4 linked regions of the Lonchura striata genome follow. The protein of the gene in region 1 purifies or fractionates together with the protein of each later gene. This does not show direct contact. Links are inferred from orthologs where the notes say so. Each region holds a gene or a part of one and is shown in the gene's direction. Other genes may lie near its edges. The genes, in order: CDC37, CDK9, epithelial discoidin domain-containing receptor 1 and DNAJB1.

What was found.
Region 2: the proteins of CDC37 (region 1) and CDK9 purify together in Homo sapiens (affinity purification with mass spectrometry; 9 studies listed by BioGRID and IntAct, counting the BioPlex papers as one, with this or other methods). This does not show direct contact. The link is inferred for Lonchura striata from reciprocal best matches to the Homo sapiens genes CDC37 and CDK9.
Region 3: the proteins of CDC37 (region 1) and epithelial discoidin domain-containing receptor 1 purify together in Homo sapiens (affinity purification with mass spectrometry; 3 studies listed by BioGRID and IntAct, with this or other methods). This does not show direct contact. The link is inferred for Lonchura striata from reciprocal best matches to the Homo sapiens genes CDC37 and DDR1.
Region 4: the proteins of CDC37 (region 1) and DNAJB1 purify together in Homo sapiens (affinity purification with mass spectrometry; 3 studies listed by BioGRID and IntAct, with this or other methods). This does not show direct contact. The link is inferred for Lonchura striata from reciprocal best matches to the Homo sapiens genes CDC37 and DNAJB1.

What each region holds. Positions count from the first base shown.
Region 1 is NC_134623.1:1,357,377-1,364,968, forward strand, and holds the start of CDC37 (hsp90 co-chaperone Cdc37), read left to right. Parts: upstream 1-4,591; 5' UTR 4,592-4,659; coding exon 4,660-4,761; intron 4,762-6,029; coding exon 6,030-6,311; intron 6,312-6,406; coding exon 6,407-6,512; intron 6,513-6,801; coding exon 6,802-6,917; intron 6,918-7,371; coding exon 7,372-7,494; intron 7,495-7,592. UniProt on the Homo sapiens protein: Co-chaperone that binds to numerous kinases and promotes their interaction with the Hsp90 complex, resulting in stabilization and promotion of their activity. Inhibits HSP90AA1 ATPase activity.
Region 2 is NC_134624.1:694,195-701,828, forward strand, and holds the start of CDK9 (cyclin-dependent kinase 9), read left to right. Parts: upstream 1-4,622; 5' UTR 4,623-4,657; coding exon 4,658-4,749; intron 4,750-5,307; coding exon 5,308-5,389; intron 5,390-5,799; coding exon 5,800-5,890; intron 5,891-7,307; coding exon 7,308-7,474; intron 7,475-7,634. Other genes in the region: SH2D3C (SH2 domain-containing protein 3C), read right to left, coding at 979-1,630, 3,581-3,620. UniProt on the Homo sapiens protein: Protein kinase involved in the regulation of transcription.
Region 3 is NC_134631.1:71,478-79,149, forward strand, and holds the start of epithelial discoidin domain-containing receptor 1, read left to right. Parts: upstream 1-4,667; coding exon 4,668-4,780; intron 4,781-5,152; coding exon 5,153-5,381; intron 5,382-5,758; coding exon 5,759-5,906; intron 5,907-6,416; coding exon 6,417-6,519; intron 6,520-6,895; coding exon 6,896-7,082; intron 7,083-7,263; coding exon 7,264-7,510; intron 7,511-7,672. UniProt on the Homo sapiens protein: Tyrosine kinase that functions as a cell surface receptor for fibrillar collagen and regulates cell attachment to the extracellular matrix, remodeling of the extracellular matrix, cell migration, differentiation, survival and cell proliferation.
Region 4 is NC_134623.1:2,238,490-2,245,537, reverse strand, and holds the start of DNAJB1 (dnaJ homolog subfamily B member 1), read left to right. Parts: upstream 1-4,046; 5' UTR 4,047-4,142; coding exon 4,143-4,353; intron 4,354-6,328; coding exon 6,329-6,888; intron 6,889-7,048. Other genes in the region: TECR (very-long-chain enoyl-CoA reductase), read right to left, coding at 87-327. UniProt on the Homo sapiens protein: Interacts with HSP70 and can stimulate its ATPase activity. Stimulates the association between HSC70 and HIP. Negatively regulates heat shock-induced HSF1 transcriptional activity during the attenuation and recovery phase period of the heat shock response.

The sequences.
Region 1 (7,592 bases):
GAGAACCCCAACTTCAGGTCCCGGGCACCCTCCATGGTCACCGAGGACATCCTGGGTCTCCAGGATGGAGAAACGCACCTGGAGACCTTGGAGACCGTGGGGACACCACGGAGACCCCGGAGACCCCCTCCATGGCCACTGAGGACACCGTGGGGACACCTGAGGCACGGCCCGGACACCTGGACGCCCTCACCTGTCCCCGATGGGCACCCTGAGGAATCCTCCAGGTGCTCCAGGGCACTGGGAGGGGCCCTGGAAAGCCTGGAGACCCCCCCAGGACACTGTGGACACACCTGGGACCCTCCCCCGGGTACCCCAAACCCCACCACTCCGGCAGTGGCCGGACCACCTGGAGCGGTGTCCCCCCCTCACCTGATCCAGGTGTGTCCAGGTGGGGGCTGTGCCCCCCCTTCCCTCCACTCCAGGACTCCAGCGGTGAGAGGGGGGGGGCGTCTTCTCGCTCTCTCCTTCTTTCCATGTTTTCCCTTAATTTTCTGGGGGAGGGGGAGGAATTTTTGGGGAGAAAGAACAAAAAATAAGGATTTACCACGTGTTTAATTAGACCTGTTACCCGTTATCAGGTAAGGAGGAGCGTGACTGACGCAGGGAGCGGCGACTCCTCGGGAGCCGCTGACCCAAATCCATCTATTTTTATAGCAGAATATTAAAAATATCCCCCAAAATCCCCCAAATCGCCGTTCCAGAGAGGGTGAGAACCTGTTTTGTGCTCCCCGAGTTCCTTGGAAGCAGCTTGTGAACCCCAAGAGGGATCAAGGCAAGTTCTGGGGGGTCAGTGGCACTGAAATTCCAGGGATTCCTCTGGTACCCCCAAATCTGGGAGGGAGAGGATGTGTCTTGTCACACTTCCCCCCTCTCCCTTCCCAAATTCTCCAAAATGGGCAATTTTTGCCCCAAATTACTCCACTTTCTGGAGTTTGGCCACTTGGAGCCTCCTGTCCAAAAAAAGGGCGGAACCCCACCTCAAAAGCCCCGACCCTGAGTTCCCCCATACTCCTTTATCGTCATTATTATTCTTAATTATTCTTAATTATTATTCTTATTAATTATTATTGATGTTATTATTATTATTATTGCGATTCTTATTTATTTTCCCTTCGCTGTCGGGATAATTTCTCACTTTTCAGTGGTTTATTTCCCATTTATTTCCTATTCTTCCCTGTTTTTTCCCCTGATCCTGGTACTCCCCGGGACCCTCTTTTTTCCCCCCAGACCCCTCCCCCAATCCCATCCCAGCTCCTGGTTTTTTTGTGTCGTGCCTGTGTGAAGCTTCTTGTAGTTTTAATTATTATTAATATAAATATTTAGGAGCGACCCCCGTGTCCAGATCCGCCATCACACCCCCCACCCCCCCAAACTCTGACCCCCACCCCCTCTCCCAGGGATCCAGCCCTGGAATTTGGGGAGGGGGCCAGGGGACCCCCAGTTCAGTAGCAATAAGGGGTCCCCACCTCAGCCCCGGCCCATTTTTGGGGGGCCCAACGTGGGGACAAAAGGTGCCCACCCTGGTGGCACTGCGGGACCCCTCGGAGGGGACCGGGACCCCCCCGGCCCCCACCCCTGGACTCGACTCTTTGTATTTTTCATGGGAAAAAAAAAAATCAATTAAAAAATTTAAAAGGCAGAATTTGTACGTGATTTTTGCAGGGAGGGTGCGTCCGTCCGGGACTGGATGGCTGAGGGACTCTCGGCCATTTCCCTCACGCTTCCAGCTCTTTTCCCCTCATATTTCCTGCCCTTTTCCCCTCACATTTCCCTCTCTTTCCACCCTCACATTTCCCGCCCTTTTCCCCTCACATTTTCTGCCCTTTTCCCCTCACATTTCCTACCTTCTTCCCCTCACATTTCCTTCTCCTTTCCCATCACATTTCCCACCCATTTTCCCCTCACCTTTCCTGCTTTTTTTCTCCTCATGTTTCCTATCCTTTTCCCCCTCACATTTCCCACCTTTTCCCCCCTCACATTTCCCTCTCTTTTCCTCTCACCTTTCCTGCCCTTTCCACCCCCACATTTCTCACCTTTCCCCCTCACATTTCCCACCTTTCTCCCCTCACATTTTCTGCCATTTTCCCTTCACGTTTCCCTCCCTTTTCCCTCACATTTCCCTCTCTTTTCCCCTCACATTTCCCTATTTTCCCCTCACCTCTCCTGCCCTTTTCCCCCTCACATTTCCTTCTCCTTTCCCATCACATTTCCCACCCATTTTCCTCTCACCTTTCCTGCATTTTTTCCCCTCAAGTTTCCTGCCCTTTTCCCCCCTCACATTTTCTGCCCTTTTCCCCTCACATTTCCTACCTTCTTCCCCTCACATTTCCTTCTCCTTTCCCATCACATTTCCCACCCATTTTCCCCTCACCTTTCCTGCTTTTTTTCTCCTCACGTTTCCTATCCTTTTCCCCCTCACATTTCCCACCTTTTCCCCCCTCACATTTCCCTCTCTTTTCCTCTCACCTTTCCTGCCCTTTCCACCCCCACATTTCTCACCTTTCCCCCTCACATTTCCCACCTTTCTCCCCTCACATTTTCTGCCATTTTCCCTTCACGTTTCCCTCCCTTTTCCCTCACATTTCCCTCTCTTTTCCCCTCACATTTCCCTATTTTCCCCTCACCTCTCCTGCCCTTTTCCCCCTCACATTTCCTTCTCCTTTCCCATCACATTTCCCACCCATTTTCCTCTCACCTTTCCTGCATTTTTTCCCCTCAAGTTTCCTGCCCTTTTCCCCCCTCACATTTCCCACCTTTTTCCCCTCGCATTTCTCACCTTTCCCCCTCACATTTCCTGTCTTTTTTCCCCCTCACATTTTCTGCCTTTTTTCTCCTCACGTTTCCCACTCTTTCCCCCTTCACATTTCCCACCCTTTCCCCTCACATTTCCCACCTTTTTCCCCCTCATATTTCCCTCTCTTTCCCCCTCACATTTCCCACCTTTCCCCCCTCACATTTCCCACCTTTTCCCCTCACATTTTCCACCCATTTTCCCCTTTCATTTCCTGCCTATTTTCCCCTCACATTTCTCACATTTCCCCCTCACATTTCCTGCCTTTTTTTCTCCTCATGTTTCCCACCCTTTCCCCCTCATGTTTCCCTCTCTTTTCCCCCTCATCTTTCCTGCCCTTTTCCCCTCACATTTCCCCTCACATTTCCTACCTTCTTCCCCTCATATTTCCTTCTCCTTTCCCATCACATTTCCCACCCATTTTCCCCTCACCTTTCCTGCATTTTTTCCCCTCATGTTTCCTGCCCTTTTCCCCCCTCACATTTCCCACCTTTCCCCCTCACATTTCTCACCTTTACCCCTCACATTTCCCGTCCTTTTCCCCCTCACATTTTCCACCCATTTTCCCCTCATCTTTCTCACCTTTCCCCCTCACCTTTCTCACCTTTTCCCCTCACATTTCCCCTCTCATTTCCTGCCTTTTCCCCCTCACATTTCCCACGTTTTCCCCTCACATTTCCTGCCCTTTTCCCCTCCTGTTCTCCCCTTTTTCCCCTCCTAAGTAACCCCTCTAATTAAACCCTTTTAACCAATGAAAAAAAGGTTTTGCTCCCTCAGTTTAAACCTCAAAAATGGAAAAAGGCATTCCCTCTATGTTTAGACCCCTAAAATGGTGGATAAAGGGGGTCTCCTCCCAAAATAAGACATAAAAATGGTGAAAAGGGTGGAGTTTCCCTCAATTTAAACCCTTAAAATGTTGGATCCTGCCTCAATTTAAATTTTTAATGGAATTCCTACTCAATTTAACCCCACAAGAGGCCTCCTCCTCCCTTTACTGGTTTTCCTTCAAGAAACACAAGTTTTGGGGCTTTTTGACACCATTTTCCCTGTAAAATCCCTTAAAATCGAGGGGCCCTGTTGATGGAACTCTTAAAACGTCCCATAAATAATCTCCTTTCAATTTAAACCCTTAAAAACGATGGAAAACAGAGATTCCTCTTCAATTTAACTATTTATGGAATTAAAAATTTGGATTTATCCTCAGCTAAATCCCTATATAATAGAAAGTAGTCATTCCCAGTCAATTAAACCTCATCAAATCATGGAAGAGGAAGGCTTTTCCTTCAATTTAAACCCTTAAAAACGATGAAAAACACAGATTCTTCCTCAATTTAACTATTTGAGTAATTAAAAATTTGGGTTCATCCTCAACTAAATCCCTAAAATAATAGAAAGTAGGGATTCCTAGTTAACTAAACCTCTTCAAATCACTGAAGAGGCAGGATTTTCTTTCAATTTAAACGCTTAAAAACGATGGAAAGCACAGATCCCTCCTCAATTTAAGTATTTAAGGAATTAATAAATAGGATTTATCGTCAACTAAATCCTAAAATAATAGAAAGTAGGGGTTCCTAGTTAACTAAACCTTTTCAAATCAGGATTTTCCTTCAACTTAAACCCTTAAAATAGTTTGAAAGACTTTATTCATTCTATTGACTCCTTTACACCCGCAGGTAAAAACCATGGCGCATGCCTGTGTGTGTGTGTGTGGGGGGGTGTGCTCGTGTCTCTTTAAATCCGCCGCCATCTTTGAAGAGGGCGCGGCTTGGCGCGGGCGGCGAGCGAGGCCGGGCGCGGCGCCGGAAGTGCGTCAGGCGCGGGCGGAAGCGGGCGGGGGCCGGAGGGAAGGTGGCGGCGGCCGCGCCATGGTGGATTACAGCGTGTGGGACCACATCGAGGTCTCGGACGACGAGGACGAGACTCACCCCAACATCGACACCGCCAGTCTCTTCCGATGGCGCCACCAGGTGCGGCTCGGCCCGGCCCGCGGCGCTCTGCCCCCAAGCCCCGGGCCTGGCGCGCCCAGGGAGGCCCGGTTCCCATGGCGACCGGAATTCCCGGGATTCCCGGAGGGACGGGGGAGGCACGGGCTGGGGATCTGTTGTTCGTGGGAGCCCGGGGGTGTGGGGGGCTCTCCGTGTTCCCGCAGGACGGGGAATGGGGGGGGGTGTTGTTCTTTTCCAGCTCCAGGGGCTCCCGTGGGGCGGGGGCTCCCCGCATTCCCGTGGGATCATCCCTGGAGCCCCCGCGGGGAGCTCCGCCATCCCAGCACGGCCCGGTTCCCGTTCCCCATCCCGGCCCGGTTCCCGTTCCCGGTGCCTCATCCCATCCCAGCCCGTTCCCGGTTCTCTATCCCAGCACGGCCCGGTTCCCGTTCCCCATCCCGGCACGGCCCGGTTCCCGTTCCCGGTGCCTCATCCCATCCCAGCCCGTTCCCGGTTCTCTATCCCAGCACGGCCCAGTTCCCGTTCCCCATCCCGGCACGGCCCGGTTCCTATTCCTGGTGCCCCATCCCATTCCCCATTCCCGATGTCCCATCCCAGCCCGTTCCCCATTCCCAGTGCCCCATCCCATTCCCGGTTCCCCATTCCCAGTGCCCCATCCCATTCCCTGTTTCCCGTTCCCGGTGCCCCATCCCATCCCACTCCCCATCCCATCCCATTCCCCCATTCCCCATCCCATCCCATTCCCGGTTCCCCATTCCCAGTGCCCCATCCCATTCCCTGTTTCCCGTTCCCGGTGCCCCATCCCATCCCACTCCCCATCCCATCCCATTCCCCATTCCCGATGTCCCATCCCAGCCCGTTCCCCATTCCCAGTGCCCCATCCCATTCCCGGTTCCCCATTCCCAGTGCCCCATCCCATCCCACTCCCCATCCCATTCCATTCCCCATTCCCCATCCCATTCCCGGTTCCCGCTGCCCCCGGCATCTCCCGCTCCATCCCTGCCGTGCCCAGGGGCTGCTCCTTCCCTCGGGAATCACCTCAGGGTGAGGGGGGGGTCCCAGCCCCCCAAAATCCCCCTGCGTGTCCCAGGATGGGGCAGCGACCCCTCCGAGGGCTCACACCCAGCTTTGGGCCGTGGGAATCGCCAGAATTCCAGATCCTCCCCAATTCCCTACGGAAAAGCTGCAGCTCCCTGGGGTGGATTTGGGGGTTCAGCCCCTCCTGAACCCCCCAAAACCCCCCCAAAACCCGGGAGCGAGGCGCCCCAGCTCCTTCCCTGCCGCCCCAGGCCCGCGTGGAGCGCATGGAGCAGTTCCAGAAGGAGAAGGAGGAGCTGGATAAAGGCTGCCGCGAGTGCAAGCGCAAGCTGGCCGAGTGCCAGAGGAAGCTGAAGGAGCTGGAAGTCGCCGAGCCGGAGAGTGGGAAAGGGGAGCTGGAGAAGCTCCAGGCCGAGGCCCAGCAGCTGAGGAACGAGGAGAAAAGTTGGGAGAACAAGCTGGAGGAGCTGAGGAAGAAGGAGAAGAACATGCCCTGGAACGTGGACACGCTCAGCAAGGATGGCTTCAGCAAGGTGCGGGTTTTTTGGGGAGAAAACCCCCCAAAAAAAGCACCCCCAGCGTGTCCTAAATCCCCCAAGTCATTCCCTGCCTTCCTTGGCATTCCCAGAGTGTTTTCAACGTGAAGGCCGAGGAGAAGGAGGAGACGGAGGAGCAGAAGGAGAAGAAACACAAAACCTTCGTGGAGCGATACGAGAAGCAGATTAAACACTTTGGTGAGGGGGTTTGGGGGGCTTTAGGGAGCTGGGGGACGCTTTTTGGGGTTCTCCAAGCTTGGGAACACCCCCCGTGGTGGGACCAACCCAGAATCCTCTCGCTGCGCTGAAAAATTGAGGATTTTGTGTGCTTTTTCCCATTTTTTTCCCCCCGCTGAAGCACAGTTTGGGGGGAATTGGGTTAAATTTCACGATGAGGTGCTCGCCCTCCTGGCCAGCCTCATCCAGGCGGAGTTTGGGGTTTGTTCCCCGGCTGAGGAGGGGGAATTCTCCTGGTTCCCGGTGGCAGGGATGCTGAGGCGCTGGGACGACAGCCAGAAGTACCTGTCGGACAACCCTCACCTGGTGTGCGAGGAGACAGCCAACTACCTGGTCATCTGGTGCATCGACCTGGAGGTGGAGGAGGTGAGCAGTCAGGCTGAAATTGGGGTAAAAATCCTAAAATCCCCAACTTTTGCAAGCTGGAGCTGCCTTGTTCTCATCTCTCCGGATTTCTTCCCGTTTTTCCTGCCAAAAAAAACCCGAGAGGATTGAGGACTTACAAGGCAGGAGAGGTGGGAAAAGATCCTTAAAATCATCCTGTAGAAGCACCCACCTTTCCTTGGGAGAGAGGTTGACACCTCTCCTGCAGCTCCAGGGTTTTTCTGGGATGAGGAGCCCACAAAATCAGGGAATTTGGGATTAATTTGGGATCAAACAGCTCCTAAAGAGCATCGAACCTAACCCAGTCTCATCCTCAATCCAACTTGGGATTCCCTGACCCAAATCGCCTCCTCCTCACCCAAAAAGGGGTTTGGCCGAGTGGGGAATGGGGATTTTGGGAGATCTTGGGGGGATTTTGACCCCGTTTTCCCCCCAGAAACACGCGCTGATGGAGCAGGTGGCCCACCAGACCATCGTCATGCAGTTCATCCTGGAGCTGGCCAAGAGCCTCAAGGTGGATCCCAGGGCTTGCTTCCGGCAGTTTTTCACCAAAATTAAGGTAAAAATCCCCCCTGGACTCCCCAAAATCCCTCCCTGAGGCCGTGTGCACCCCAATTTCCACAGGTGTAGCCTCAAATTCTTTCCTTTTCCCAAAAT
Region 2 (7,634 bases), on another chromosome or scaffold:
CGGACCCTCCTCCTTCCCGTCCCAGCCCTCCTCCGGCCCACCCTTCGGGCCGCCAGGAATGTGTGGTCGGCACAGCCCGGCTCCCACCGCCGAATTTCTCCTCCTCACCCCGCTCCCGGGACCACCCGGACCTCAGGAACGCTCAGTGTCAGGAAAAGGAGCCCCCGGCCCCGGGGCGGTGCAGGGGGAAAGGGACACCGGGGCCACTTGAGCGCAGAGAGAGGAGAGTCAGGCCAGGGAAAGGGGGAGAAATGTTTTCGGGAGAAATTTGGAGTTGCCTTTGCCTGTGTCCCCAGTTTCGCACACCCTCCTGGGCTGGGGTCGCATTTGGCCCCTTATGCCCAGATGCCATGGGGCTGGAGGATAAAAATCCCTAAGGTTGATTCTGCGGTCAAAACCCTCCAAAAAATCCATCCGTCATCTCAGAGGGCTGAACCTCCAAATTCCCCCGGAGGGAGAGATTGTGCCTGGAGTGGGGAATTTGTGCCCAGAGTGGGGGTTTACTGGTAGGTGATGAAATAGGGACGGAGTGTCTGGTTTCAGGATTTGCCCCTGTGCCTTGGGAGAGGCAGCGCTGCTCGGCAGAGGGGGAGAGGACAGAGGGGGTGGAAAAGCGGAGAGAGGCGGAGGAGGCTGTAACAGTGCTGCTGTGAGCTCTCCGCAGCAGCACATCCTGGTGCTGGAACGCAGCCGCCGCAGGACAAAGAGATGCCGGGGCAGAGCGGGGCTGCGAGATGTTTCCACCCCGTCCGGAAACAGGAGGGAGCAGAAATCCCACAGGAAACCTCGTTCCCATGGAGCCGCTGACCTGACCGTGCTCCAGCTGTGTTGTCCCACCGGCCAGGTGCATCCCGCTGGCACTGTGGGCACGAGGGGACATTGCAGTGACCCTGGTTGGTCCCAGCCCCCTCCTCTTGCCCTGTGGGGGAGCAAAATGGGGGTCTTAGCAGAAGGCAGAGCAAACCTCAAGGGTTATACCTGTCTGGGGAGATCTTGTCAGGATGCTCTTGTCCCTTTTCCAGCAGATCCCCATCAGTGGTCTCTGCTCCAGCTGCTGTGTCAGGGCTTGTGGTTTGGCTGGGGTTTGGAGCCAGGCTGGAGCTCAGTGTCTCTGCCCTAGGGCAGGAGACGTTTCCCACAGGCTCCTGGTCTGTCCTGTCCATTGCTGCCTCCACGGTGTCCCCAGGTTCAGCTTTTTCCTCCTCCTGCCCTGCTTCTCCAGCAGTCAAGGGTGAGTCTGTGCCTGGGGCAGGGGTGCTGGACATCTCAGGGCACTTGAGGCTGGGGAGTGGGGCTGCCTGGGGGGTTTTGTTGTTGGGAGTCCCTTTCTCCCAGCAGTTCTGGCTACTCTTGTCTTTGCCCAGGCTCTTCCCTGCCTTGCCCAGATTCACCCTGGGCATGGTGCCCATGTGGGAGTACATGTTCGACGACTGGGCGTAGGGGCCAGGGCTCTTGGGCACGGTGTTGAGATCATCCTGGGTGCTGTCAAAGGGCTCTCCCAGGAAGCCGTGGGGAGGTGGGACATGTGCTCTGAGATTGTCGGCACAGCTGGGGTCCACAGGGACGCGCCGGAAGGTGAAGGAGCGGGGGATGCTGCTCAGGCTCCCAAAGCCTTTGAACCTGAAAAACTCTGGCAAGGAGAAAGGAGTGATGAGTGTGGGGTTACTGCTGGCATGGTGTGATGATGGGGGATCCCAGAGCCCCTGGTCCTGGGTTGGGCTGAGCAAGGAGCACTATGCAGCCTGGTGTCACCCTGTTACACCCACATCTGCAGGCCCAGCTTGGCATGATATCCCTGTGGTCTGTGGTGTACATGATGCTGCTTGAGGCATGTCTGTTGGGTACCTGGGAACTCTGCCCTGGTCCCTCGGGGAGCAGAAGTCTCCTGTGCCTGGCAAATCTAGCGGCTGTATCTCCCTACCACGGCTGAGGAGGGGAGGAAACACCCAACCCTGGTGAGCAGGCAACTCTAAAAGTTATTTCTAACACCTACTTCCTCCAGGGGCCTCTGGGCAGAGCTATGCCCATCCCCGCAACCTTAGGGCAGCCCTGCAGGATGCAAGAATGGGCCACACGGCATCTCCCTAGGGAATGGGGGTCCTGGATGCACATGACCTGCCCACATGTGCATGTCGCCGGCACGATGGAGCAGGAACCAGCCACGGGCGCTGCTGCGGCAGCAGATAACCTCCCCACTTCCTCGCCCGGCCCCTCGCCAGCTCCAGCTGCCACCTGCAAGTGCTGAGCATGAACATGTTCGCCGGAGAAATATTTATAACTGCGGCGGGCGGCTTTGCATTTCACACCCCAGCCCCAGCTCGGCTCTGTGTGTCACCGCAGCGCAGCCTTGGATGGTGCCGGTGCCGGTGCCGGTGCCGGTGCCGGTGCCGGTGCTCGGGCTGAGCGAGCCTGTGGCTGCAGTGCTGTTGAGCAGCGCTTCCCTGCCGCCGTGGTTCCCACCGGGGATTTTGCAGTGCTGATGCCGCCCCGGGGCTCTGCGAAGCACGGCAGATTTGCTGGGGCAGGAAGCGACACTTTGCAGAGGTGCTGAGCAAGGACCAGGGTGTCCCGGGCTGCTCAGCCCCTGGATTCCCACCTCCAGTTGCCATCCACGGGTTCTGTGGGGCATCCCTGCAGCTGGACAGGGTGGAGGGGCTGCATCCCAAAAGCCCCTCTGTGAGGCAGAAACCTCATTGAGTGCAGTTAGAGGCAAAATTACTTTGTGCTAAACATCCCCTTGGAGTCCAAGCATCTTCTGCTACCTGCTGCTCCTGGGGCTGCTGAAAGGTGGGAAAGGCAGCCCTGAGGATTTTCTCAATTTCCACGCCACTCCACCACAAAGGAAAATCCCAGCTGGGATGGGGCCCTGGGTTTGGCCAGTGGAGGGGTCCCGGGGGAGCAGAGGGACTGACCCCCCTCTGGCGCCAGCCCCGTGGCAGGAATGCAAGAGCACAGCCCAGCGCTGGGAATGGGGTGAAGGCCACTGCAGCCTCCCCCCGGAGCTCCGGGGGAAAGCTGAGGTCTGTGAGAAAGTGCAGAGCTCGCTCCCGGTGGGTATCAAGCACTTCCTCCCAGAAGAGCCGGTGGGAATCCATTCCCAGGCTCCCTCCCCAGCTTCTCTGTGTCACCCCCGTCCCTGTGCTGCAGGAGCACCCTGGGGTGAGGGTCCTAGCCACCCCTGGCCCCCAGCACCATCTTGTACCCAAGCCATGCACCCTGAAGTTGGTTTAATGATTTAAGGAGTGAAGAATCTCCAAATCCTGCTGTGCATCCCTCTGCCCACATCCCAGCATCCAGCACAGGGCTGTGCTGCAGCATACTGGTCCCAGTCCCTGCACCCAGCTCCTGAGCCAGCACCCAGCCCTGTGGATGAAAACCTCAAAGTCCCTCACCCCACTGAGTTTCCTAACAAAAGCAGAGGCTGTCACAGCTCCAAACATCCCTGGATTGGGATGACCCCATCCCTGGATGGGATGACCTGGGGAGCGTGTAAGCACACACTCAACACTAACTGTCACACATCCTCCTACCCACCGAGACGTCCAGGTGAGCCCGCCCACCCTGTGCCGTGGCCACTTACTGAATTTCTTGAAGCCCCGTCGTTTCTGGCCCTCGGCCATGGCCGTGCTGCTTGGAGGCCGCGGGGACTAAGAGGGACAAGTATATAACTGTGAAGCCCTTCCCTGCCTGCTCCTCCCTTCCTGCCCCCCCAGCCACCCCGCTCATCGCTCGCTCAGCATTTCCTCCCCACTGCTGTCATCTGCTCCCTGCCCCGCTGCTGTCCCTGCCCGCCCTCGCGCTGTCCCCACAGTTCCTGAAGTCCCCGTGGCTGCTTGCACCTGCCTGGCTGCTCGAGAGTCACCTCCGCACCCCGGTTTGGGGACATCTGCCAGATGTGGACAACCAAAAACCTCTGGGTGCCAGCCCTGAAAGAGGGTTCCAGCCTCATGGAAGAAGGTGGCAGCCTTAGGAGGAGCGTGACAGCCCTTTGGGTGAGGGTGCCAGCTGTGTGGGTGAGGCTCCAGCCCTGCAGACAGAACTCTGCCGTGCACGTCAGATGCTCAGCCCGTGTGGGATGAGAGCTGGGTGGCGTCGCTGCCAGCAGGAGCACTCCTCACCAGCCACTCTCTCCTTCTGGGGACAGTGCTCCATTACAGTGTGGCCATGCAGGACAAGGTGGCCTGGACCCAGCAGGGGTCTGCTGTCTGTGTTTCCCTCAGCAAGCCGCTGGCAGCCACCTCTGCCACAGCTCGGTCCTTTGGTGCTGTGCACCTCGGGGACCGGTTTCGAACAGCCTGAGATGGAGCTCTTTGTCCTGCACCTGAACACAGTCACGGCCAGGGGAGGAACTCAGGGTCCCCTGAACCAGACCCTGGAGTCCTCCTGCCTGGCCAAAGCCTCCCTGCGTCAGAGCCGCAGCTGCAGGAGCAGAAGCCTTGTTTAACTCCTGACGTGCTTAAGCACACACGGGGCACCCAGCAAAGCGCTTTAGGGCCACGGGGAGCGCTCGGGGCTCCCGGGCCACGAGGAGGGACAACATGGCGGCGGCCCCAGGGACTGCAACACCCACAGGGCCCCGCGCGGGCGGGCGGGTCACGTGACGGCGTCACGTGGCGGAACGGGCGGGACGCGGTGCTGTGGCAACGGCGCGGCCGCCATGGCCAAGCAGTACGACATGGTCGAGTGCCCCTTCTGCGACGAGGTTTCCAAGTACGAGAAGCTCGCCAAGATCGGGCAGGGCACCTTCGGGTGAGTGCTCGCCGGCCCCGGCCCTCCATGACCCGCCCCGGCCTTCCCCAGCCTCAGGCCTGCAGCTGGGCCCAGCCCGCGGCCCATCGTGCCTGCCTCGGGTGCTCCTTGCTCGGTGTCCTTTCCCCTGCCGCCCCTCTGCCCTCAGAGAGCCAGTCTGTTTCCTGGGCCCTCTTTTCCCAACCTGAGGTCCCGCTCTGTCCCAGCTCTGCCAGAGCAGAGTTAACCTTGAAAACAGTTAGGGTGGCGACCTGTAACTTGCCTCCAAATGTGCAGCTTGGCTCCAAATGTACAGCTTTTTGCTCAAAATGTGCTACATTACTGGAAATCCTTGTAAGGCTGCAAGAGATCTGGGCTCTCTGTTGGTTCACTGAGTCCTGAGGGCCTTTGGCCCAGGGGAATGTGGCTATATTGGCTCAGCACAGAGTTCTCTGTGTGGTGCTTTAGTGTATCTTGTTTGGGCTTGTTCCTTGTGGGGGCACCTGGCTCCTTTCTCCTTGTGCTGCTCATGGATATTTTTTAAATTTTTTTTTTTTTTTTTTTTTTTTTTTTTAACAGAGAAGTTTTCAAAGCTAAACATCGCCAGACAGGCAAGAAAGTAGCACTGAAGAAGGTGTTGATGGAAAATGAGAAAGAAGGGGTGAGTGTGGGGCATGGCTGGGTTGGGCCTGTTGTCACCTGGGCTGCAAAGGCACATGGCAGCAGCGAGGGGACTGGGCTGCATGGGATGGCTGCTTCCCATGTGTTTCTTCTCCTCTGGGACCCTGAGCACAGGGCTCCACACTGGCTGTGTCTGTGGAAGAACTGGGTGATGTGTCAGACACATGCTCAGGGGTTGGGGAGAGAGTTAAGAGCTTAAACAGCAAAGGCAGCAGCCAGGGAGGCTGTTCTGCAGCTCAGGCTGGGCTGTACCCTGTCCTAGTGTGAATATAAAAGGTGAGGAGAGGAGGGGAGGACCTGTCAAGCTGCATGGTCACACCTCCTGTTCTCTGGCAAAGATGGCCTTGTCTCCTGCATCTCCAACCTCCATTCTCTCTTTCTCTTTTCCAGTTTCCCATCACAGCCTTACGAGAGATTAAAATCCTCCAGCTGCTCAAACATGAGAATGTGGTGAACCTCATAGAAATCTGCAGGACCAAAGGTACTTTGCAGGGTGTCCCTTGTGTCAATGATGGCTTTTCTGAGCCCTGCCAGTGGTGAGCAGGCTGGTGTCTTGTGCTGGGAGTGGAGTGGTCTAGCTGAGCATGGGCCTCTCTTCCTGCCTGTGACATGGGGTGACAGGTTACTTACCTTGGAAAAGAGTTCCTAAATGAGTCAGGACGTTGCTGAAGCTCAGATGGAAAAAGCTGTTGTAGTCCTGCCAGGATATGCCTGTGCTGGGAAGCTCCTTCTGAGAGGCTTTAAACGAACAAGCACTTTGGAGCAGAGGCTCCTCAGCCTCTGTATCTGGTGTTATTTAAAAAGTCCAGTCACTGAATGGGCAGAAATGTCTGGCCTAGTGATGGGAAATTCAAGATACTCCAGTACACTGAATTGTGTGTAGATTACTGTCTGAATAGGTATGAGTGAAGACACCAATGACAAGTTAATTTGTAATTCACTCTGTGATTAAAAGAGCTGCCATGATTGGGTGTCTCACATACCAAAAGTAAATATTTTTGTAGACATGTCATTTGTTCCCTTTTTATGTTTTGTTTGTATTCCAGTTTTTATCCAAATCTACCTTGACCTCAGTTTGCAGTAAAGTAGAAATGTTTCATTTACTGTTGTCAAACATGAGGCTTTTCTCTTTTTGTGTTGGAAAGGCGTGTTTGGGGCTGTGTCTGTGTGAGGAACTGCAAACTCAGTGTAGCAGGCACCCTCCTGGGGAGGAGAGTAGTGTGCTTCTCTGGGGGCTAAGCTTTTCCGGCTGGAGATGCTGATCAGCAGGTTTGCTGATTACAACTGATGAAAATCAGCTTTTCTTTTTAATAATGTTTTGCGTGGGTGCTCTAGGAACAAGATTAAAATCTCTTAAAGTCTGCTATCTTATCACTTAAAGTCTTCACTTAAAGTCTGCTATCATTCAATTAAAATTGGAGTTTTATATCACTTTGATCAAGATCAGTCCGTTTTTGCAGATCCTGTTTGAGGTTGCAGGAAATCTCACTTTTTAATGTGAGATTAGACAGATTTTCTGTGTTTCTGCATTTTTCCCGGGGCTGTCTGTGGGTGTCTCCTCTATCTCTGGTGCTTGGCTGGCAGCCACAGCTTGCAGGGAGGAAACCCCACAGCCGTTACGTGCCCAGAGCTGCACGAAGTGAAGCTTTCAAAGGTTGCCATGCCCTTTCCTTGCCTTTCTGATGACATTTGCTGCACCAATCCTCATCTCCCGTTCTTGTGTTGCTAGTTTTTGCTCAGTTCTTTAAAAAGGACCTTGAGGCCTGCAGGCTGTCTGGTTCTCTGTGTTCCCGTGCCCTGAGATTCTGTGTAGGGGGTGTTGTATGAGTGGGAGGTGAGAGGAGCTGTGACCCAGTGAAAGGTCCCTCACTGGCAGCCTCTCTGTGCCTCTCCCGCAGCCTCTCCGTACAACCGGTGCAAGGGCAGCATCTACCTTGTGTTTGACTTCTGTGAGCACGACCTGGCTGGCCTTCTCAGCAACGCCCATGTCAAGTTCACACTGTCAGAGATTAAGAAAGTTATGCAGATGCTCCTGAATGGACTTTACTACATCCACAGGAACAAGGTAATGGGAAAGACTTCTGCTGTGCTCAGAGGGTGACTTTCCAAGGAGCAGGTGTCTTAGCACAGGCTGGAGGGAAATCCTTGTTTCCCACCTCTGCAGCCTGAACATTGTGCTGGCGCAAGGCACCTAAGGAGGGCACTGCATTCACTTAACCCTTCAA
Region 3 (7,672 bases), on another chromosome or scaffold:
CATATAGGGCCCAAATCCCCCCAAAAATCCCCTATAGACTCCATAGGTCCCATATAGGACCCAAACCCCCCCAAAAATCCCCTGCAGACCCCTCGAACCCTCCCCAAATCCCCTATAGCCGCCATAGGTTTCGGATATCCCCAGAAACCACTCCGGATATTCCCCAGATCCCCTCCCCTATAGATCCCCCAAATATCCCCTATAGACCCCCCATAAACCCCTTATTGATCCCCCTATAAATCCCCTATAAATACCCTATAGACCCCCCAAAAATCCCTTATAGACCCCCCATAAATCTCCTATAAATTCCTCATAAATCCCCTATAGACCCCCCCATAAACCTCTTATTGATCCCCCCATAAATCCCCTATAGACCCCCCAAAAATCCCTTATAGACCCCCCCATAAATCCCCTATAAATTCCTCATAAATCCCCTATAGACCCCCCCCATAAATGCCCCATCGATCCCCCATAAATCCCCCATCGATCCCAAATAAATCCCCTATAGATTCCCTATAAATCCCAAATAAATCCCCCATCGATCCCCTACAAACCCCCTATAGACCCCCCATAAATCCCCAATAAATCCCCTATAAATCCCGCATAAATCCCCTATAGACCCCCCATAAATCCCCTATAGATCCCCTATAAATCCCCAATAAATCCCCTATAAATCCCCCATCGATCCCAGTCAGGCCTCGCCCCCCCCAGCCCCCCCCCCATTCCAGCCCCCCCCAAACCCCTTTAAACGCCCCCAGGCCCCCCCGAACCGTCCCGAGCAGCCCCGGCCCGCCCGGGACCCCACCCGCCCCCACCCGCCCCCACAGAGCCCCCACAGACCCCCACAGACCGCCACAGACCCCCACAGACCGCCACAGACCCCCAGAGCCCCCCGGGCCGCCCCAGCCGCCCCCGCCCCGCTCGCCTCTAAAATGGCGCCGCCGCCTCCCCGTCACGGCAGCCGGGCCACGCCCCCACCCCGCGCGCACACAGCGCTGATTGGCTGCTCTCCCCCAGCGACAGCGCTGATTGGTGAAAAGGAGAGGGAGGCGGGGTTTGGGCGGCAGGGGTTGCGGCAAGAAGGGGCGGGGTTACGAGGATGATTGACGTGTGTGCGGAAGAGGCAGGGTTATGAGGATGATTGACGTGTGGGCGGGAAGGGGCGGGGTTATGCGGATGATTGACATGTGGGCGGGGTTACGAGGATGATTGACGTGTATGTGCAATGAGGGGTGGGGGTATGCTAATGAGAAGGCGCGGTTTGTTCGGAGTGATGGCTAATTGGTAATTAATGGGAAATTGTGGTAATAATTGCTAATTAATGGGTAATTATGAATAATGATTGCTAGTTGTTGGGGCTAATAACGGATAATAATAGGAAATAACGATTATTAATTAGGAAGGAATAATCATTTGTGATGAATAATGATTAATTACAGGAAATAATTATTAAGAATCAGGAATAATTATTACTAATTTAAAAATAATTACAATTAGAAAATAATGATGACTAATGACTGATAATTAGGAGATAATTAAAAATATTGAGAAATAATTACTAATTATTGCTAATACTTAGGAAATAATGTCTAATAATTGGGAAATACTGACTAAGAATTACTAATAATCACTATTAATTAGTATATAATTATTAATAATTGAGAAATAATGACTAGTAATTACCATTAAAGATGAATAATGACTAATGATGACTATTAAGGCTCAATAATGATGAATAATGATTAATAATTTGGAAATAATTATTAATAACTCAGAAATAATGGCTAATAACGATGAATAATGAATAATAATTGGGAAATAATGGCTAATAATAACTAATAATCACTAATAATTAGGAAATAATAAATAATAATTAGGAAATAATGACTAATGATAACTAATAATGACTAATAATGACAAAATAATGATTAATAATTGGGCAATAATGGCTAATAACCACTAATAATGGCTAATAATCACTAATAATTACAAGATAATGATAATTAATTGGGCAATAATGGCTAATAACGATTGATAACTACTGACAGCGATGGCTAATTAAGCAGCTATGCATATTAATTAGTTACTAATTAACAAACACCGGAATTTCCCCTCCCCCCTTTCCCAGCTGTTCCCGGGAGCGGCCCCGGGGGGGGAGGGGCGGCAGCTGCGAGGTCACGTGACCCGGCCGGGGCTGGAGGCGGAGGGGGGAAAATGGGAATAAAAGGGGGAAAACGGGAATTTGGGGATAAAAATGGGAATTTTGGGGGGAAAATGGGAATTTTGGGATAAAAATGGAAAAAAAATGGGAATTTTGGGATGAAAATGGGAAAATGGGAATTTTTTGGGGAAAATGGGAAGAACAGGAATTTTTTGGGGAAAATGGGAATTTTGGGATAAAAATGGGGAAAAAAGGCATTTTGTGGGGGAAACGGGAAAGCACGGCAATTTTGGAGAAAAAGAGGAATTTTGGAGAAAAAATGGGAATTCTGGGGGGAAAATAGGAATTTTGGGGGAAATGGGGAAAACAGAAATTTTTTGGGGAAAAATGGGAATTTTGGGGAGAAACAGAGGAAAATTGGAATTGGGGGAGGGAATGGGGAGAATAGCGGGGAATGGGAATAAAAGGGGGAAAATGAGAATTTTGGGAGGAATTGAGGAAAAATGGGAATTTTTTGGGGGAAATGGGAATTTGCGGCGGGGGAGCGGATGAAGCAGGGCAAATGGAAATTTTGGGGGTGGGGAAATGGGAATTTTGAGAATAACAATTCCCCAAAACGGGAATTTTTTGGATAAAAGGATGAAAAAAAAAAAAAAGGGAATTCGGGGAAATTGGGGAATAAAAAGCTCCCAAATAAACGGAATTTTGGGGGTTTTACCCCTCCAAAAAAAATCGGAATTGTGGGAATTTCCCCACTTCTTGTTTTGGGATTTTTTTGGGGAATGTTGGAGTCCGGAAGCCCCCCTGGAGCCCCCCCGGGGGGAGGTCCCGGGAATTTTGGGGGATTTGGGGAGGATCCGGGGGGGATTTGGGAGCGACCAGAAGGAGCCGAGGAGAGCGGTGGGCACCGGCCACTGGGGCTTTGGGAATTTGGGGAAAATTTGGGGATTTGGGGGGCAAATTTGGTAATTTTGGGGGTGTTGGGGGGAATTTGGAGGGATTTAGGAGAAATTTGGGGATTTTGGCGTGTTTGGGGGGAATTTGGGAGAATTTTGGAGGGAATTTGGGGGATTTAGGCGAAATTTGGGATTTTTCGGGGGATTTCGGGGGAACTGGGGGGGAATTTAGGGGAAATTTGGGGGGAACTTCTGGAAATCGGGGGGAGTTTGGGGGATTTGGGGGGAATATGGGGGAATGTTGGGGATTTTTGGGATTTTGGGGGGTCTGGGGGAATTTTGAGAATTTTGTGGGGGGGATTTGGGGGGCTCGGGGGAAATTTTGGGGATTTTTTTGGGGGAATTTCGGATGGATTTTGGGGACACTTGGGGCCCATTTTGTCCGCCCCGGGTGGTTTTAAATGGGGCTGGTGAATATTCATCTTTATGCAAATTACGGGGTGGGGTCAAGCCGAGGTCACGCCCCCTCTGCAGCTGTTGTGGGGGGGAGGGGGGAGGGGGGAAATTCCAGCAAAGGATTTTGGGAGCAGCTGCTGGGCTGGGGGGCTCCCAGTGCTCCCAGTTCCTCCCAGTCCCTCCCAGTTCCTCCCAGTCCCTCCCAGTCCCTCCTAGTCCCTCCCAGTCCATCCCAGTCCATCCCAGTCCATCCCAGTTCATTCCGAGTTCCTCCCAGTTCTTCCCAGTCCATCCCAGTCCCTCCCAGTCCCTCCCAGTCCCTCCCAGTTCCCTCCCAGTTCACTCCCAGTCCATCCCAGTTCACTCCCAGTTCATTCCCAGTTCCCTCCCAGTCCCCTCCCAGTCCATCCCAGTTCATTCCCAGTTCCTCCCAGTTCCTCCCAGTCCATCCCAGTTCCCTCCCAGTCCCTCCCAGTTCCCTCGCAGTCCCTCCCAGTTCCTCCCACTCCCTCCCAGTCCATCCCAGTCCATCCCAGTCCCTCCCAGTTCACTCCCAGTCCCTCCCAGTTCACTCCCAGTCCATCCCAGTCCCTCCCAGCTCATTCCCAGTTCCCTCCCAGTGCTCCCAGTCCCCGGGCTGGGGGCGGGGCCATGGCGGCGCTGCCGCTGCCCCTCCCCCTCCTGCTGCTGGCCGGGGTGGCCGAGGGGACCCCGCGGGGGCCGGCGGGGACAGCGCTGGACCTGGGTGAGTGACCCCTCGGCCACCGCTGGCCCCAGTGTCCCCAATGTCCCCAAGTGTCCCCAAATGTCCTCAATGACCCCTGGATGTCCCCAGTGTCCACCTCAATGTCCCCAGTGTCCCCAATGTCCCCAAATCTCCCAATTGCCCCAAATCCCCTCGATGTCCCCCCTGTCCCTGCTGTCCCCCCAATGTCCCAAATCCCCCTTGATGACACCACTGTCCCCTGGCTGTCCCCAATGTCCTCAATGTCCCCAATGTCCCCCAATGTCCCCAATGTCCCCAAATGTCCTCAATGACCCCTGGATGTCCCCAATGTCCCCAGTGTCCCCAATGTCCCCTGCTGTCCCCCCCGATGTCCCCAATGTCCCCAAATGTCCTCAATGACCCCTGGATGTCCCCAATGTCCCCCCCGATGTCCCCAGGCCGCTGCCGCTTCGCTCTGGGCATGCAGGACGGGACCATCCCCGACTTCCGCCTCTCGGCCTCCAGCGCCTGGTCCGACTCCACCGCCGCCCGCCACGGCCGGTACGCACCAGTAAGAACCAGCATAAACCAGTTTAAACCAGTATGGACCAGTACGGACCAGTATAAACCAGTATGGACCAGTATGGGCTGATAGAAACCAGTATGGAACAGTATGGGCTGATAGAAACTAGTATAAACCAGTATAAACCCCAAACTCCAAATGTCGCCAACTCTCCTGGATGTCCTCCCATCCCTGAGTGTCCCAAATGTCCCCAAATGTCCCCAAACATCCCCTGGGTGTCCCCAAATGACCCCTGGGTGTCCCCAAACCTCAAAATGTCCCCAAATTCTGTGACTTTTCTCACATCCCAAATGTCTCCAAACGTCCCCAAACGTCCCCAGACGTCCCCAAATGTCCCCAAACGTCCCCAGGCTGGGCCGCAGCGACGGCGACGGCGCCTGGTGCCCGGCGGGGCCGGTGTTCCCGGCCGAGCAGGAGTTCCTGGAGGTGGACCTGGGCCGGCTGCACGTGGTGACGCTGGTGGGGACGCAGGGACGCCACGCGGGGGGACACGGCCGCGAGTTCGCCCGGCAGTACCGGCTGCGCTACAGCCGCGACCGGCGCCGCTGGCTGCGCTGGAGGGACCGCTGGGGACACGAGGTGGCCACGGGGACAACGGGGGATTTGGGGGTGTTGGGGACATCGAGGGGGTTTGGGGACATTGAAGGGATTTGGGGACTTTGGGGACGTTAAGGGGATTTGGGGACGTTGGGGAATTTGGGGATGTTTGGGATGTTGGGGGGATTTGAGGACATCAGGGGTGTTGAGGTAGTTTGGGGATATTGGGGACATTGAGGGGATTTGGGGACACCTCGGGGACACCTCAGGGACACCTCGGGGACACTTTGGGGACACCTTGGGGACATCGTGGCGCCGAGGCCATCGAGGACGCCCCGGGAGACCTCGGGCTGTGACAGACCCCGAGAAGTTCCCGGGGTGTCCCGGGCTGACGCCACCCTTGGGTGCTGGCTCCGCAGGTGATCGGTGGCAATGAGGACCCCGAGGGCGTGGTGCTCAAGGACCTGTCCCCGGCGCCGGTGGCCCGGGCGCTGCGCGTGTACCCGCGGGCGCCGCGCGCCATGAGCGTCTGCCTGCGCCTGGAGCTCTACGGCTGCCCCTGGGAGGGTGAGCGCCACCTCACTGCCACCTCACTGTCACCTCACTGCCACCCCCGGGTCACCCCCGGGTCACCTCAGTCCCCTCCCTGCTGGTGGCCCTAAAGGGGTGGTGGTCACCCACGGTTGCATCCAGCACCCAACGGCCCTTGGTGGTGACCCTGGGGCAGCTGAGTTGGGGTCTTGTCACTGTGGGGTCAATGGTTGGGTGTTGAGGTCAATGGTTGGGTCATGGAGTCATCCATTGGGTGTTGGGGTCATCCATTGGGTGTTGAGGTCAATGGTTGGGTCATGGAGTCATCCATTGGGTGTTGGGGTCATCCATTGGGTGCTGGGGTCATCAATTGGGGTCATCCATTGGGTGTAGGGCCAACAGTTGGGTCATGGGGTCAACGATTGGTTGACAACATCCTTCACTGGCTCATGACATCATCATGGCCACGCCCCCAGCCCACCCAATGGCACCTCCTGGGTGTCCCCAAGGGGTGGTGACCTCACGGTGACCCCTCCCCGTCTCCAGCCGGGCTCTTGTCCTACACGGCCCCGCGGGGACACGTCATGGCCCTGGACCCCGCCCCCATCGTCCTCAACGACTCCATCTACGACGGCTTCAGCGCCGGCCCGTGAGTGTCCCCAGGTGTCCCCAGGTGTCCCCAGACCATCCCCAGGTGTCTCCAGGTGTCCCCAGGTGTCCTCAAACCATCCCCAGGTGTCTCCAAACACTCCCAGGTTGTCCCGTGGCAGTCCCCAGGTGGGTGGGATGGGACAATCCCAAGATCCAGCTGTGCCCCACCTGCCCAGGTGTCATTGGGGGGTTCCCAGGTGTCACTGGGGGATCTCCAGCTGTGCCCCACCTGCCCAGGTGTCACTGGGAGGGGTCCCAGGTAGGTGGGATGGGACAATCCCCAGATCCAGCTGTGTCCCACCTGCCCAGGTGTCACTGGGGGGTTCCCAGGTGTCACTGGAGGATCTCGATCCAGGTGTGTCCCACCTGCCCAGGTTGCACTTCGGGGGGCTGGGCCAGCTCTCGGACGGGGTCCTGGGCCTCGATGACTTCTTGAGGACCCGTGAGCGCCACCTGTGGCCGGGCTACGACTACGTGGGGTGGCCGCGGCCGCCGGGGCCCCAGCCCCACGTGGAGCTGGAGTTCGAGTTCCAGGAGCTCCGTGCCTTCCACGCCATGCAGGTGCCCCAGGGGATGCTGGGAGATCTGGGGCACCGGGAACGGTGGGATTGGTCAGCCATGGACGGATGGAGGGGTGGCCACCACGCCAAGGCCACCTCGGGGTCCAAAATGTCCCTCTGGAGAACTTCGGGATTGGCCACCTTGCCCCAGGGCATCATGGGACGTGCTATCACCCCCCCAGGTCCACTGCAACAACCTCCACACGCGCGGGGTCGGAATCTTCCGGGCTGTCGAGTGCCGCTTCAAGAAGATCTTGGCCACGGCCTGGGAGCCCATGGTGGCCACCCATAGCCTGGCCGGGGCCACCAAGGACGCCAGCGCCCGCTGGGTCGCCGTGCCCTTGGGCGGGCGCCACGCCCGCTTCATCCAGTGCCGCTTCTTCTTCGGCGCCGAGTGGATGCTCTTCAGTGAGGTGTCCTTCATCTCAGGTTGGGTGTTGGGGTCAATGGTTGGGTGTTAGGGTCAATGGTTGGGTGTTGGGGTCAGTGGTTGGGTCATGGGGTCATCCATTGGGTGTTGGGTCAATGGTTGTGTCATGGGGTCAATGGTTGTGTCATGGGGTCATCCATTGGGTGTTGGGGTCAATGGTT
Region 4 (7,048 bases), about 880 kb from region 1:
CAATATCCCCGATGTCCCCATGTCCTCCTGTCCCCCCATGTCCCCAATATCCCCCCATGTCCCCCTGTCCCCCGCTGTCCCCTCACCTTGTCGAGGAAGCAGAGCTTCTCCCGGCTGCGGGCGTCCAGGATCTCCACCTCGAAGAAGAGCACGGCCGATTTCTTGGGCCGCTTGCCGGGGGCCACCGCCGGCCACAGCGCCGGGCCACCCTCGGGTGCCACCGCCACCTCCATGCCACCGAAACCCGAGCGGCCCCGCCAGCGCTAAATATAACCCGCCCCCCCTTGGTGGCCCCAAGGTGGCCCGAGGTGGCCCCGAGGTGGCCATGAGGTGGCCCTGGAATTGGCTCCGAGGTGGCCCTGGAGGTGGCCCCGGGCTGGCCCTGGAATTGGCTCTGAGGTGGCCCTGGAAATGGCCACGAGGTGGCTCCGAGGTGGCCCCGGGCTGGCCCTGTGGTGGCCCTGGAGGTGGCCCCGGGCAGGCCCCGTGGTGGTCCCGGGGTGGCCCTGGAGGTGGCCCCGTGGTGGCCCCGAGGTGGCCCTGGAGGTGGCCCCGGGGTGGTCCTGGAGGTGGCCCTGGAGGTGGCCCCGGGCTGGCCCTGGAATTGGCTCTGAGGTGGCCCTGGAAATGGCCACGAGGTGGCTCCGAGGTGGCCCCGGAGGTGGTCCCGGGCTGGCCCTGTGGTGGCCCTGGAGGTGGCCCCGGGCAGGCCCCGTGGTGGTCCCAGGGTGGCCCTGGAAGTGGCCCCGTGGTGGCCCCGGGGTGGCCCTGGAGGTGGCCCCGTGGTGGCCCTGGAGGTGGCCCTGGAGGTGGCCCCGTGGTGGTCCCGAGGTGGCCCTGAGGTGGCCCTGGAGGTGGCCATGGGGTGGCCCTGGAGGTGGCCCCAAGGTGTCCTTGGAGGTGGCCCTGGGGTAGCCCTGGAGATGGCCCTGGAGGTGGCCCCGGGGTGTCCCTGGAGGTGGCCTCGTGGTGGCCCCAAGGCGGCCCTGGAGGTGGCTCCGAGGTGACCCCGGGGTGGCCCTGGAGGTGACCCCGGGGTGGCCCTGGAGGAGCCACCGGAGCGGTGACGGTGGCAGCGCCGGTGGCGCTCAGTGAGGGGGGACAGCGGGACCCGTCCCGGGGTCACCGCGGCCCCTCCGGGCTCTGCACCTGCCCGGGACCCTCCGGGACCTTCCAGAACCTTCCGGGACCCTCCGGGACCTTCCGGGACCCTCCGGGACCACCGGGAGTCCCGGGAGCCCAAGCCACGCCCCCTTAATAGCCACGCCCCCTTGACAAACGCCACGCCCTCCATAGCCCCGCCCATAGCCAGCTCGCCCTCCCGCCGCGCATGCGCACATCACGACGCCCACCGCACATGCGCGCAGCGCGTCCCGGGCGCCCCGGGGTGGAACGCGCGGGTTCCGCGGCGCCGCCGCGCTGCCGCCGTGCGGGGCCGGCGGCGGCGGCGCTGGGGGCCGCTCCGGTGGCGGTGTCCGGGCCGGGCCGCGGGCGGCGCGGCCGCCTCACCTCGTAGTGCTTCATGGCCGCTGCGCTCCGCCGCTCCCGCCGCCCCCGCCGCCCCCACGTGACCCGCCCCTCACGCCGGCGGGGGGGCGGGGCCCGCGGCTCGGCCAATCGGCGGCGCTCGCGTGGCTGGGCGCGGCCAATCAGGAGGCAGCGGCCCCGCCCGCGCGCTCGCCCCTTCCCGCCTCGGCGGTTGCCGGGGCGACGCGAACGCCCGAGGGGGACTCCGCCAATGGGAGGCGGGGGCGGGGCGTGGAGTGACGGCCGCGGCAGCCAATGGGATCGCGGAGGGGGTGGGGCTGAGGGTGGAGTGATGGCCTGCTCGGCCAATGGGCTCGCGGGAGGGGCGGGGAGTGGGAGGGGCAAGCAGCGCATGGGGGCGGGTCTAGAGGGGTCTGAGGGGTCTGGGGGGTCATGGGGGGTCTGGGGGGTCATGGGGGGTCAGGGTGGCCATGGGGAATGGAGGGGTCAGAGGGGCTGGGGGGGTCTCAGGGACTGGGGGGCTGCGGGGTTTGGGGGGGTCCGAGAGGTTTGGCGGGGTCCGAGAGGTTTTGGGGGGTCTGGGGGGCCATGGGGAGGGGAAGGGTCACAGGGACTGGGGGGATCTGGGAGATCTGAGAGGTTTGGGGGGGCTGGGAGGCCTGAAGGGTCTGGGGGGCCATGGGGGTTCTGGGGGGGTCATGGGGACTGGGGGTTCACAGGGACTGGGGGGCTGCGGGGCTTGGGGGGGTCCGAGAGGTTTGGGGGGGTCTGGGGGGGTCTCAGGGACTGGGGGGGTCATGGGGACTGGGGGTTCACAGGGACTGGGGGGCTGCGGGGCTTGGGGGGGTCCGAGAGGTTTGGGGTGGTCTGGGGGGGTCTCAGGAACTGGGGGGGTCTCAGGGACTGGGGGGTCCGAGGGAACTGGGGGGGCTGCGGGTTTTGGGGGATCTGAGGGGTCTGGGGGGTTCCAGGGGTCCGAAGGGTCACAGGGGGGCTGGGGGAGCTGGGGTGGTCGTGGCAGGCTGGGGGGTCCCGAGGACACGCGGGGACACCGTGGGGACACCGTGGGGACACCGTGGGGACACCGTGGGGACACCATGGGGACACTCTGGGACACGGTGACCGCGGGGCCACGGGGACAACGGCGTGGAGGGACCTGTCCCTCCCTGTGTCCCCGTGTGCCCGTGTCCCTGTCCCCAGTGTCCCCAATGTCCCCAATGTCCCCAATGTCCCCATGTCCTCATATCCTCCCCGTTCCCATCCCCGTTCCCGTTCCCGTCCCGTTCCCGTCCCGGTCCCTCCCGGCACCTCCGCCGGTCCCTCCCCGGCTCCCGCCCCGTTCCCTCTCCCGGTTCCTCCGCCGATCTCTCCCCGCTCCCTCTCCCGCCCCTTTCCCGACCCCTCCTCGTCCCCCCCGCTCCTTCCCCGGTCCCGTCTCCGGTCCAGCCCCTCCTCGACCCATCCCCGGTCCTTCCTCCGGTTCACTTCCATTCCCGGTCCATTCCCGGTCCAGCTCTGTTCTCCTCCATCCCTCGGTCCTTCCCCGGTCCATTCCCGGTCCAGCCCTCTCCTGCTCCATCCCTCGGTCCTTCCCCGGTCCATTCCTGGTCCAGCCCTCGGTCTCTCCATCCCTCGGTCCTTCCCCGGTCTCTCCCCGGTCCATTCGCGGTCCCTCCCCGGTCCAGCCCTCGGACTCTCCATCCCTCGGTCCTTCCCTGGTCCCTCCCCGCTCCCTCCCCGGTCCATTCCCGGTCTATTCCCGGTCCAGCTCTCTCGCACTCCATCCCTCGGTCCATTCCCGTTCCATTCCCGCTCCATCCCTCGGTCCATTCCCGTTCCATTCCCGCTCCATCCCTCGGTCCATTCCCGTTCCATTCCCGCTCCATCCCTCGGTCCATTCCCGGTCCCAACCCCATCCCCATCCATTCCTCGGTCTCTCCCCGGTCTACCCCCGGTCCCTCCCCATCCATCCCCGTCCCTCCCGTTCCCTCCCTGTTCCTCCCCGGTCCCACCTGGTCCCTCCCCGTCCCTCCCCGGTCCCACCTGGTCCCTCCCCGTCCCTCCCCATCCCTCCCCGGTCCCTCCCCATCCCTCCCCGTCCCTCCTGGTCCCTCCCCGCTCCATTTCCATCCCTCCCCGTTCCCTCCCCGTCCCTCCCGGTCCCTCCCCGTCCGTCCCCATCCCTCCCCATCCCTCCCCCATCCCTCCCGTTCCCTCCCCATCCCTCCCCCATCCCTCCCCATCCCTCCCCATCCCTCCCGTTCCCTCCCCGTCCCTCCCGGTCCCTCCCCGGTCCCACCTGGTCCCTCCCGGTCCCTCCCCATCCCTCCCCCATCCCTCCCGGTCCCTCCCCATCCCTCCCCCATCCCTCCCGTTCCCACCTGGTCCCTCCCCGTCCCTCCCCATCCCTCCCGGTCCCTCCCGTTCCCTCCCCATCCCTCCCCCATCCCTCCCCGGTCCCACCTGGTCCCTCCCCGTCCCTCCCCATCCCTCCCCGGTCCCACCTGGTCCCTCCCGGTCCCTCCCCATCCCTCCCCCATCCCTCCCCGTTCCCTCCCGGTCCCTCCCCGCCCCCCCGCCCCTCGGGGCTCCCTCGCCGTGCCCGTCCCGCGGAGTCTCTCGCCGTGCCCGGTGCCAGAGCAGCGGGGCCGGCCATGGGCAAGGATTATTACCGCACGCTGGGGCTGTCCCGGGGCGCCTCCGCCGCCGACATCCGCCGCGCCTACCGGCGGCAGGCGCTGCGCTGCCACCCCGACAAGGACCGCTCGCCCGGCGCCGAGCAGCGCTTCAAGGAGGTGGCCGAGGCCTACGACGTGCTCAGCGACCCCAAAAAACGGGAGATCTTCGACAAGTACGGGGAGGAGGGTGAGCGGCGGCACCGGCGGGACGGGGGCGGCCGGGACGGGGGGCACGGCAGGGGCGGGGAGGGGAGCGGGGCTCGGGGGGTCCGGGACCGGAGGGGATTTGGGGGGTCTGGGGAGGTCCGGGCCGGGGGGCTGGGGGACACCGGAGGGGATTTGGGGGGTCGGAGGGTCGGGGGGGGTCCGGACCGGGGGGTTGGGGGACACCGGAGGGGATTTGGGGGGTCAGGGGGTCGGGGGGTCCGGGCACGGGAAGGGATTTGGGGGGTCGGAGGGTCGGGGGAGGTCCCGGCCAGGGGGTTGGGGGACACCGGAGGGGATTTGGGGGGTCAGGGGGTCGGGGGGTCCGGGCACGGGAGGGAATTTGGGGGGTCAGAGGGTCGGCGGGGGTTCGGGTCGGGGGGCTGGGGGACATGGGAGGGGATTTGGGGGATCGGAAAGGGACAGGTGATGGGGACAGGTGAGGGGGACAGGTGACAAGGACAGGTGACAAGGACAGGTAAGGGGGACAGGTGAGGGGGACAGGTGAGGGGGACAGGTGAGGGGACAGGTGAGGGGACAGGTGAGGGGACAGGTGCCAGGGCCAGGTGCCAGGGCCGGGCCCGTGGGTCGGGGGGCGCGGGCATGGCCAGGGCAGGTGTGACACGCACCGGGCGGGCGGGGGGCTCCGGGGCCGGTATCCCACGGGGGTCTCCGGGGCCGGTATCCCCCGGGGTCTCCGGGCTCGGTGTATCCTACGGGGGGCTCGGGGCTCGGTGTCCCCGAGGTCTCCGGGGCCGGTATCCCCCGGGGTCTCCGGGCTCAGTATCCCCCGGGGTCTCCGGGCTCGGTGTCCCCGGGGTCTCCGGGCTCGGTGTCCCCGGGGTCTCTGGGCTCGGTGTCCCCGGGGTCTCCGGGCTCGGTGTCCCACGGGGGTCTCCGGGCTCGGTGTCCCCGGGGTCTCCGGGCTCGGTGTCCCCGGGGTCTCCGGGCTCGGTGTCCCCGGGGTCTCCGGGCTCGGTGTATCCCACGGGGGGGGCTCCGGGCTCGGTGTCCCACGGGGGGCTCCTGGCTCGGTGTATCCCACGGGGGTATCCGGGCTCGGTGTCCCACGGGGGGCTCCGGGCTTGGTGTCCCCGGGATCTCCGGGCTCGGTATCCCCCGGGGTCTCCGGGCTCGGTGTCCCACGGGGGGCTCCGGGCTTGGTGTCCCCGGGATCTCCGGGCTCGGTATCCCCCGGGGTCTCCGGGCTCGGTGTATCCCGTGGGGGGGGCTCCGGGATCGGTGTATCCCACGGGGGTCTCCGGGCTCGGTGGATCCCCCGGGGGTCTCCGGGCTCGGTGTATCCCGTGGGGGGGGCTTCGGGCTCAGTATCCCCCGGGGGTCTCTGGGCTCGGTATCCCCCGGGGTCTCCGGGCTCGGTATCCCCCGGGGTCTCCAGGCTTGGTGTCCCCGGGGTCTCCGGGCTCGGTGTCCCACGGGGGACTCCGGGCTCGGTGTCCCACGGGGGGAGCTCCGGGGCTCGGTGTCCCCGGGGTCTCCGGGCTCGGTGTCCCCGGGGTCTCCAGGCTCGGTGTATCCCGTGGGGGTCTCCGGGCTCGGTATCCCCTGGGGTCTCCGGGCTCGGTATCCCCCGGGGTCTCCGGGCTCGGTGTCCCCGGGGTCTCCGGGCTCGGTGTCCCCGGGGTCTCCGGGCTCGGTGTCCCCGGGGTCTCCGGGCTCGGTGTCCCGCGTGGCGGCCCCGGCGCCGGGCCAGCCGCCCGGGGGTGGCCGCCGGGGCGCCGGGGCGTGCCGGGGGGAGCCGAGCCGGCCGGGCCTGTCGGAGCCCGTCCGGGACCCGTCAGCGGCGTCGGCGGCGCGGGCAGAACCGGTTCCCCCACGCCCTCGTCCGCTCCACGCCCTGCCCGCGGCTCACCCCGGGGTGGGGTCTGATGGGTGCCTGGGGTGCCTTCATCCATCCCTCACCACCCTCCAACCCATCACCCCCCAAAAACCTTCAGGGCTGAAAGGGGGAGCCCCGACCCCCGGACCGGGTGGCGGCACCGGTCCGACGTTCACCTACACCTTCCGCGGCGACCCGCACGCCATGTTCGCCGAGTTCTTCGACGGGCGCAACCCCTTCGACACCTTCTTCGCGCAACGCAACGGCGACGACGAGGATGGAGACGAGGCCTTCAGCACCTTCCACCTGGGCGGCTTCGGCAGCGTCAGCTTCCCGCGGGCCCGGGGCGCCGAGGGTCGCCGGCAGGACCCGCCGGTGCTCTACGAGCTGCGCGTCTCCTTGGAGGAGATCTACAGCGGTTGCACCAAGAAGATGAAGATCTCCCACAAGCGCCTGGGCCCCGACGGGAAGACGGTGAGGAACGAGGACAAGATCTTGACCATCGAGGTGAAGCGAGGGTGGAAGGAGGGCACCAAGATCACCTTCCCCAAAGAGGGCGACCAGACGGCCACCAACATCCCGGCCGACGTGGTGTTCGTGCTGAAGGACAAGCCGCACGACGTCTTCCGCCGCGACGGCTCCGACATCGTCTACCCGGCCAAGATCAGCCTGAGGCAGGTCGGTGGTGGTGGTGGTGGTGGTGGGATGGGGGTGGTGAGAGGTCAGGGTGGGTGGGCTTGGGGACATCAGGATGGGTGGGCATCATGGGGACATCACAGATGGATCGTCTTGGGGACATCAGGGATGGGTTGGGGACGTCAGGATGGGTTGGGGACAT